2 linked regions of the Macaca mulatta genome follow. Each later gene encodes a partner of the first gene's protein in a complex. Links are inferred from orthologs where the notes say so. Each region holds a gene or a part of one and is shown on either strand. Other genes may lie near its edges. The genes, in order: RASIP1 and RAP1B.

Region 1 (4,510 bases):
GGCGCGATCTCGGCTCACTGCAGCCTCTGCCTCCCGGGTTCAAATGATTCTCATGTCTCAGCCTCCCGAGTAGCTGGGATTACAGGCATGCGCCACCACGCTTGGCTAAGTTTTGTATTTTTAGAAGAGACAGGGTTTCACCATGTTGGCCGGGCTGGTCTCGAACCCCCGACCTCAGGTGATCCCGCCCGCCTCAGCCTCTCAAAGTGCTAGGATTACAGGTGTGAGCCACCACGCCCGGCCAGGACTAGTTCTTTAATTCAAAAAGACCCTTGTCAATATTCAGTATCAAAACAGTTGCGCTATTGATTTCACTTTCTCCCAATTGGCCCCAAGAAACCACATCGAAGAAGAATACATTTTAAGCCACTAAGCTGCAGGATGTACACCTAACAGACCTCGCAGAAACCCTACCAGAAAGTGGGGATTGGGTAGAGAAAGAAACTTTCAAAGGTCAGCAAATTGTTAGTGTCCTCTAACCTACCACACAGGGCGAATCCCTCAGGTCCCTGCGGACTCCTGCCCATTCCACAAACTCTCCTCAGGATCTACTACTCCGCAGACCCCGCTACACACCCCACCTCCTCCAAGGCAGTCTGAAATACCTGCAGAAGGCCCTAACCCCAATTCGGAACCACTTCAGGCCACTCCAAGCCACCACCAGCAACCAGCCCCCGCCCCGCCTAAGCCCCAGCCTCGGCCCCCGTAAAACTCCTGCTCAATCAACAAGCCCCACCCAACTCTCAGGCCCGCCCATCTGGCCGCCCCCGGCCCTGCTCTAGCTCTGCCTTCCACCTGCTAGAGTCCTACACGCACCGTCCAGTCCCCTCCCGCGGGCTCCGCCCCCAGCCAGCCCGCGGGTCCCACAAGCCCCGCCCAGGCCCCGCCCCACGGACCCCGCCTCTCTGGCCCCGAGTGCCCGCCCCAGAGCCCCGCCCGCAGCTCACCTTCGCCATCTGCAGCCCCAAAGGCCTCCTGCTCCAGGCGCCGTGCCTCCTCGCGACCGCGCAGCTCGAAGCGCCGCGCCCAGCCGGGCCGCGCCCGCCACAGCTCCTGCACCAGCAGCGGGCGCTCTGAGTCGCCCAGCACGCGCAGGTGCTCCGCCCGCCACTCGCCGCTTCCCACGCCCGCCGCCGCGGGCCGGCCCAGTGCGTCGCACAGAGCGAAGGCGTCCACGCAGCTGCTCTCGCCCGGGCCGCCACCGGGGCTGCCGGCCAGGCCGTAGCGCTCTAGAGCCTCGGCCACGAGCTCGCGCGCCGTGGAGCGCGCCGTGGCCAGCACGCTCTTGTAGTTGGCGCCCGATGCCAGTCCGGCGCCGAAGATCTTGAGGACCCCCGGGGACGCGGAGGCGCGGGTGGCCAGCGGGGGCTCGGGGGCCACGCCCGCCGCCAGCTCCGGCAGCTTCTTCTCGCTGGCCCAGCGCTGCGCACCCCCCGGGGTCCCAGGGCCTCCCGCGCCGCCGGACCCCGAGGTCCCGGTCCCCGAGCCCCGGAAGAGCTGGGAGATGCGCTTGGCGCGACTACCGGAGGCTCCCCCGGCCGCCTTGACAGCGCCCACTCGCCGCAGCTCCACGTGCGGCGGGGGCGGAGGTAGCGGCTCGCTGCTACGGCTCCCCGTGTCCGACGAAGAAGACCTGGGAGTCCGCCGGGGAACAGAGTCGCGGGAGAGAGACCCGAACAACACGCCAAGACGGGGGTGGAGGACAGATTAGGAGGGAAGTGAGCAGAGACCCAGAGAGAGGACAGGGATCCAGGGTGGATGGACGGGGCGGGGGTGAGGGTTGGCACAGAGACGCGAGGCAAAGAGAGAGAAAATAAATAAATAAATAAATAAATAAATAAATAAAGGCAAGTCCCACAGAGGGAAATTCCAAGAGGTGAGCAGAGAGGGGAGGAAGGAAGGTGAATCAATCCCCCTGCTCTTTCTGTCCTCATCCCGGTGCCGATCTGGCCTCACTCCACCTCCTGCCTGGCCTAGCTCTTACTCCCACAGCGCCCTGGTATCGCTGCGCCCCACCGTCTCGCACTACCCACAAGCTCGCTTGCCCAATTCAGGATGAGGACCGGAGCCAACCCTTTGCAGGACTGGGCCGTGAACAGGGACAGATGGGAGGCAGGTGTGCAGGGCCAGGAGTCCTGCAGAGATGGCACTCACTTGACAGAGGCTGCGCTGGGCCAGCGCCGCCCCAGCTTCGCCAGCTGCTTCCTGGGGGAATTGATCCACAGGCCCACGGGGAGATGAAGCTTCCCGAAGCGGGGGCTTCCGCCCTCCTTCCGTTCACCAGATAGCATGGCCCTAAGGGAAGGCGAGGAAGGCCTCAACTCCTAAGGCACTCTTGTGGGAATGGGGTGGAGGGAACCTGGACTCCGAGTCAGAGGGAGGAGGGGACTGGGGCTCAGACTTGCGAGCCCAGAGGGAGGAGAGGGATGGTACCCTGGATTCCTGGGTCCTGGGATGGAAGATGGCTGGGGGACTGAGTCTTGGGTCCCAGGGAGGAGGGTTTGGGCCGCTGGGTCCCTGGCTCTTACCCTGCTTCGGGTCCGGCACACCCGGAGGCCCTGGCTCCACTGGCCTGGGTCAGTTCCACTGCTCTTGCCTCTGCCACGGCTCCCAGCACTGGGTGGGGGACAGGAAAAGGCAAGAGGAAACCCGGCAGGAAGAGCGGGGAGGGGGCGTCCTGTGAGGAGACCAGGCCTGGGGGAGGAGATCTGGGGAGGATTGGCCCTGCCCCATTCCTTGATTCTGGAATTACGTCGCAGCCAGATGGCCCCCTCCACGACCCAAGGGTCCTGGTTTCCCGCCCTTCTTCCCTCAGGCCGGAGCCCATCCCCAGACCTCTGCTCTCGGGGAACCAAAGGCTAGGATCAGCCCCGTCCAGGGGAGTGAGTCAGATGCTTAGACAACAAGATAAATCTTTATTGGTGCCTCGAATCTGTGGCTTTTTCTTTTGGGACCTGGGGTTGCTCGGCCACTCCACTGCCAAGGCCAAACAGTGAGGACTTGATGAAATCGATCACCTTCCTTCGACAAAATATCCTAGGGGTGGGAGTGGGGTGCAGATCATGGAACCGGGTTGGGTAGTAATTGTGTGGGGGACACCCCTCCCAACCACCCCCTGTGTGACTTTATTCTAGCAATTATCTAAGCCTCGCCCTTCGAAGTCCTCCTATGCAAGCCCCCCGCACTCCATCCCCAGGAAAGTCCTGCTCTCAGTCCTCAGTAGCCCCCAGCCCAGCTTCTGCGTTGGGTTCCTGGAAGCCCCGCCCGTTACTCCAAGCCTAGCCAGCCTTCTTCAACGGGTTGCTCACGCAAAGGTAATGCCGGTTATCAGTGCTAGGGAGCCCCAGATCAGCAGCCCCAGAAGGCGGCCTTTCAGCATTTTCTCGGGCTTCAGAGGCTGGAGGGTATTGGACGACTCCGTGGTCGCCTCCCCCGGGGTTACGATATTTGGGGACGGTTTTTCCTCCTCGACCCTTTTGGGCAACACTGTTAGAGAAAGTGTAAAGAGCAGTCCTGGCAGGGCGTGGAGTTCCTGCCCTGGCAAAGGCAAGCCCGTCCCGGTAGCCTGCCATCCCAGAGATAATCACGCCTTCAACAGTGTAAAGCCTGAACACACCCAAGGGAACGCCTGTCCTCGGGGTCAGAGGCCACGCCCCCGGCGGGAAGCCACACCCCTTGCCCCGAAACCACACCCAACAGGAAGCCACGCCCCCATCGCCGAGGCCACGCCCCCGACGCGGACCCCCAGCTTTCCTGGGCCCTGAATCCTACACTTCTCTCAACCCCACAGCACTGACCTGTGACGCGAAAATTGATGACCGTGGCTGGGCTGGAATTCACAGAGCCCAGCTCGCAGCGGTAGCTGCCTGCATCCTCTGGACCCACCATGGACTTGGTCAGGGTGGGCTCTTTCCCCTTGGACACCAAAGTCTCCGTATTGTTCCCCCAAACCTAGACCCAAGCTCAAGGGGTCACTGAGGCCTGAGGAATTCAGGGGTTGGGGGAGTACCGGGTTGAGAAGATCACAGGGCCTCAGTGTGGGAGGTGGGTGTCCAGGGTGTCACTGGTTGGGGCACGGGATCCCCAGTAGAGACCACACCTAATAGACCACCCGCCTGGGTCATGAGAATCGTGGGTGCAGGCCCACAGATCCAGTACACAAGTATTGTAGTCTAGGGAGTTCAAGGATTACAGAAGTTGAGGCCCTCACCCTGTAAAAGCTGTAATCAGTGAGGCCTTCAGAAGCCTGATGCCAGTTTAACTCACAGTCCAGGATCATATCTTCCATTTGAGGAACCTCCACATTGCGCTCTGGGGGTGGAGGAAGACCATGGGACACTCTTTCACGGTTCTGTTTGTTTGGGTTTTTTTTTTTTTTTTTTTTTTTTTGAGATGGAATCTTGCTCTGTCGCCCAGGCTGGAGTACAGTGGCCTGATCTCGGCTCACTGCAACCTCCGCTTCCCGGGTTCAAGCGATTCTCCTGCCTAAGCCTCCTGAATATCTGGGACT
Region 2 (3,807 bases), on another chromosome or scaffold:
AATGTATGCCTGTATTATTTGAAATATGGTAATATATTGTTTTAAAAGTACTAGTGAGACTGAAAATTTTCCTTCTAACACATTTTCTAAACTTTTAAATGACCCACTGCAATTACAAAAAGTGCAATATACTTTTTTTTGTTTTGTTTTTGAGACGGAGTCTTGCTTTGTTGCCCAGGCTGGACTGCAGTGGCACGATCTTGGCTTACTGCAACCTCCGCCTCCTGGGTTCAAGCTATTCTCCTGCCTCAGCCTCCCGAGTAACTGGGATTACAGGTGTGTACCACCACACTCGGCTAATTTTTTTATATTTTTAGTAGATATGGGGTTTCACTGTGTTGGCCAGGCTGGTCTCGAACTCCTCACCTTAAGTGATCCACCCACCTTGGCCTCCCAAAGTGCTGGGATTACAGGCGTGAGCTACTGCGCCCGGCCAATATAAAACTAAGAATTCAACAGAACAACAACAAAAAGATTTAAAGTTTAGCAACCAGTACTCTTTATTTTTTTTTTGAGACACAGTCTTGCTCTGTCACCCAGGCTGGAGTGTAGTGGCACAGTCTCCACAGTCTTAGCTCACTGCAACCTCTGTCTCCTAGGTTCAAGAGATTCTCCTGCCTCAGCCTCCTGAGTAGCTGGGATTACAGGCATGTTCTACCATGCCCAGCTAATTTTTATATTTTTAGTAAAGACGGGGTTTAGCCATGTTGGCCAGGCTGGTCTCGAACTCCTGACCTCAAGTGATCTGGCAACCTTGGCATCCCAAAGTGCTGGGATCAGAGGTGTGAGCCACTACGACCAGCTGCAAGCAGTACTTTTAAATAAGCTTAACTAATATTTGTCTATAGAGTACTAGCGTTTATGAAGTCAATACTGTACAAACGGTGCATATACTTTGATATTTAGTTTTACCTACCGTTCCTGCAGTATCCAAGATTTCAAGCATACACTGTTGTGCATCTACTTCAACTTGCTGGTAGAAAAATTAAAATACATGTTCATTTTTTAAATGTAAGACTACCTTAATATACACAAAAAAGCTAATGTATCAAAAATAAGATACACAGATTATAACAACTTTACAAACTACTATCAAGCAATACTTCAACAAAGCAGGAGGAAAAATAGCTAAGTAATCAAGATTCAAAGACCCCCAAATTGTAATCGGGTTCAAAAGCCATGTGTTCTCAAGTCAACAGAGGGAAACCTACAAGATCCAGTCTCAGTATGATCTCTCAGCACTTAATTCTAGAGAAAAAATAGTTTCAAAATAGCTCAAATAAATAAACAAAACCAGCAATAGTTCCAACAATATCGTAAGTAATCTATCTCAATTCTCCCATGATACTTTCGATATACCTCATTTCTCTAGGTAACTATATGCCCTCACCATACTGGAACAAGATTTCTGGTATTAAGGAAGCAGAGCCACAGCTATTAAATAACTTGCACATATATCCCTGTTACCCCTTTCCATCTAATATTTCCTAGGAAAAAATAGGTATTTAGAATTAGATATAGAAAGAAAAGAGTATTACTGTCTCATAGCTGGGGTGCAAAAAAGTTTCCAGTTTTTTTGGTAGACTGTGGACATGGAGGGAGGAACGGAAACACAGTATTTGTACAACAGCAGGGCCAGGTTAGTTGCTTCATAAAAGCTGGGAAATACCTCTTTCCCTACTATGTTAAAAATGTCTACACATTGTTTTATTGTCACATAATGTTAGTGGTCACAGGAATTCACCTTACTATAGGCTGAGCATTCCTAATCTAAAAATTCAAAAATTGCAATGTTCCAAATCCAAAACTTTTTGAGCCATGTGTGGAACATCATGCTACAAGTGGAAAATTCCACACATGAGCTCATGTGACCAGTCACAGTCAAAATGCAGCCAAAACTTTGCTTCATGTGTAAGAATATTAAAAATATTACATAAGATTATGTGTATAAGGTGTATATGAAACCATGAATTGTTTAGACATGGGTCCCATTCTATTTCATTATGTATATACAAATATTTTAAAATCAGAAAATAATCTGAAATCTGAAAACACTTCTGGTCCCAGGTATTTTGGATAAGGGATATTCAACCCATATTGTGAGTGGTGGCACTTTCTCAAGAGGTTAGTAAGTAGAAAGCTTAGGAAGACTTGTGTCCACCAATTTCTAGGTTAAAAAGAAGGGAGCTTGAGAGTAATCAGTCTTGCTAGGTAGGGGATAGGAAGTAACATGGGGCTACTACTTGAAATGGATGGCATGCTTTAAAGTTTGCGTGTCAAATTACAACTTCAGGGTCAGGATAAACTTAAAATTCTGTGAATATGTGAGAGTATGAGGGTTTATGATCCTCTTAAACTGGTAAATATGCAATGCCAGAAAGTAATTATAAACTTTTCCCACTAATTTTATAAATTAACTCTGCCTCCATCCTACTTTATACAAAACATTCAGTAATTATACAGCTAAAATATTTATATTAAAATCAAAAGCAAAAGGCCTTCCAAAGTAATATATACCTTTCTATAAGAATCTTCTATCGTAGGATCATATTTTTCTACAAAAATTCCTTGAACAAACTGTACAGTCTGAAAAAAAAATTAAGAAACCATTATACTTCTAAAGAAAAGAGTACATTCAATCTTTAAATTGTAAACTGATTTCACACAGGGAGTTACACCATCGGTGAAAAAAACCACAGCCAATACTACATTTGAATGTATATATTTGGTAAGAAAATTACCTCAGAAAGCTGTTTTCTATTTTTAAATAAATAATCACTATGCTCCTTATTGGGTAATTCTAAATTTAGAGATCATATATTTAAAAATTTTAAATGTCTCTTGTTTCAGTCTTTTATTCTTTTATTTTTTTTCTTTGAGACAGAGTCTTGCTCTGTCTTCCACGCTGGAGTGCAGTGACACAATCTTGGCTCACTGCAACCTCCGCCTCCTGGGTTCAGGCCATTCTCCCACATCAGCCTCCCAAGTAGCTGGGATTATAGGCATGCACCACCACATCTGGCTAATTTTTGTATTTTTAGTAGAGATGGGGTTTCACTATATTGGCCAGGCTGCTTTAGAACTCCTGACCTCAGGTGATCTGCCCGCCTCGGCCTCCGAAAGTGTTGGGATTATAGGTGTGAGCCACCGTGCCGGTGTTGTTTCAGTCTTAAGAGCTTAAATTTGAATTTTAAATTAGAAATTGACTAATTTTATGTTATGTATACACACATACATGCACAATCAACTGACCTCCCCATCACTTTGGATACAAATTGAAAAAGCAGTTCATTTCACATCATATATACTTCTCCGTTTGTTCCAAGCATGTCAATTCTCAGCTAGGTGGCCTTTCTAAGTGGCCAAGATGGTTTATCTTATGAGTGAGGCAGAAGGTCAATCTATTTGCTTGTGAGGCTTTGCTAAGCTCTGAACTATTCATCAAATTATTTTCCCTACGTTTTTCCCCTTTCCCAACCCTCATTACCGAGTTATTCTTGCTACACCATTCCTTGATGCAGAAAACATGGCCATTAAAATAATAATGTAAAACTGGACAGTCAAACGTAATATTTGAAGAAGACTTTTTATAAGCTTTGATATTTTCTAACATAAAATGTATAGGGTAAGACTATATGTAAGAAGAAAAAGCAAGCCAGGCATGGTGATTTATGCCTGTAATTCCAGCACTTTGGGAGGCAAAGGTGGATTACTTGAGGCCAGGAGTTTAAGACCAGCCTGAGCAATACAGCAAGACACCATCTCTACAAAAAACTTTATAAAAATTAGCCTGGCATGAAGGCACAT

The links.
Region 2: the proteins of RASIP1 (region 1) and RAP1B are in contact, whole or in part, in a crystal structure (PDB 5KHO), measured with the Homo sapiens proteins. The link is inferred for Macaca mulatta from reciprocal best matches to the Homo sapiens genes RASIP1 and RAP1B. Residues at the interface, in NP_060275.2 of Homo sapiens: Val147, Lys149, Ala156, Ser157, Gly158, Ala159, Asn160, Tyr161, Lys162, Ser163, Val164, Leu165, Glu181, Arg182; in NP_001010942.1 of Homo sapiens: Val24, Gln25, Asp33, Pro34, Thr35, Ile36, Glu37, Asp38, Ser39, Tyr40, Arg41, Glu54, Leu56, Phe64.

What each region holds. Positions count from the first base shown.
Region 1 is NC_133424.1:61,201,154-61,205,663, forward strand, and holds the start of RASIP1 (ras-interacting protein 1), read right to left. Parts: upstream 2,916-4,510; 5' UTR 2,828-2,915; coding exon 2,529-2,827; intron 2,296-2,528; coding exon 2,155-2,295; intron 1,634-2,154; coding exon 948-1,633; intron 1-947. Other genes in the region: IZUMO1 (izumo sperm-egg fusion protein 1 precursor), read right to left, coding at 2,916-3,036, 3,309-3,486, 3,798-3,951, 4,211-4,311. UniProt on the Homo sapiens protein: Required for the proper formation of vascular structures that develop via both vasculogenesis and angiogenesis.
Region 2 is NC_133416.1:75,770,072-75,773,878, reverse strand, and holds part of RAP1B (ras-related protein Rap-1b), read right to left. Parts: intron 2,587-3,807; coding exon 2,518-2,586; intron 974-2,517; coding exon 917-973; intron 1-916. UniProt on the Homo sapiens protein: GTP-binding protein that possesses intrinsic GTPase activity. Contributes to the polarizing activity of KRIT1 and CDH5 in the establishment and maintenance of correct endothelial cell polarity and vascular lumen.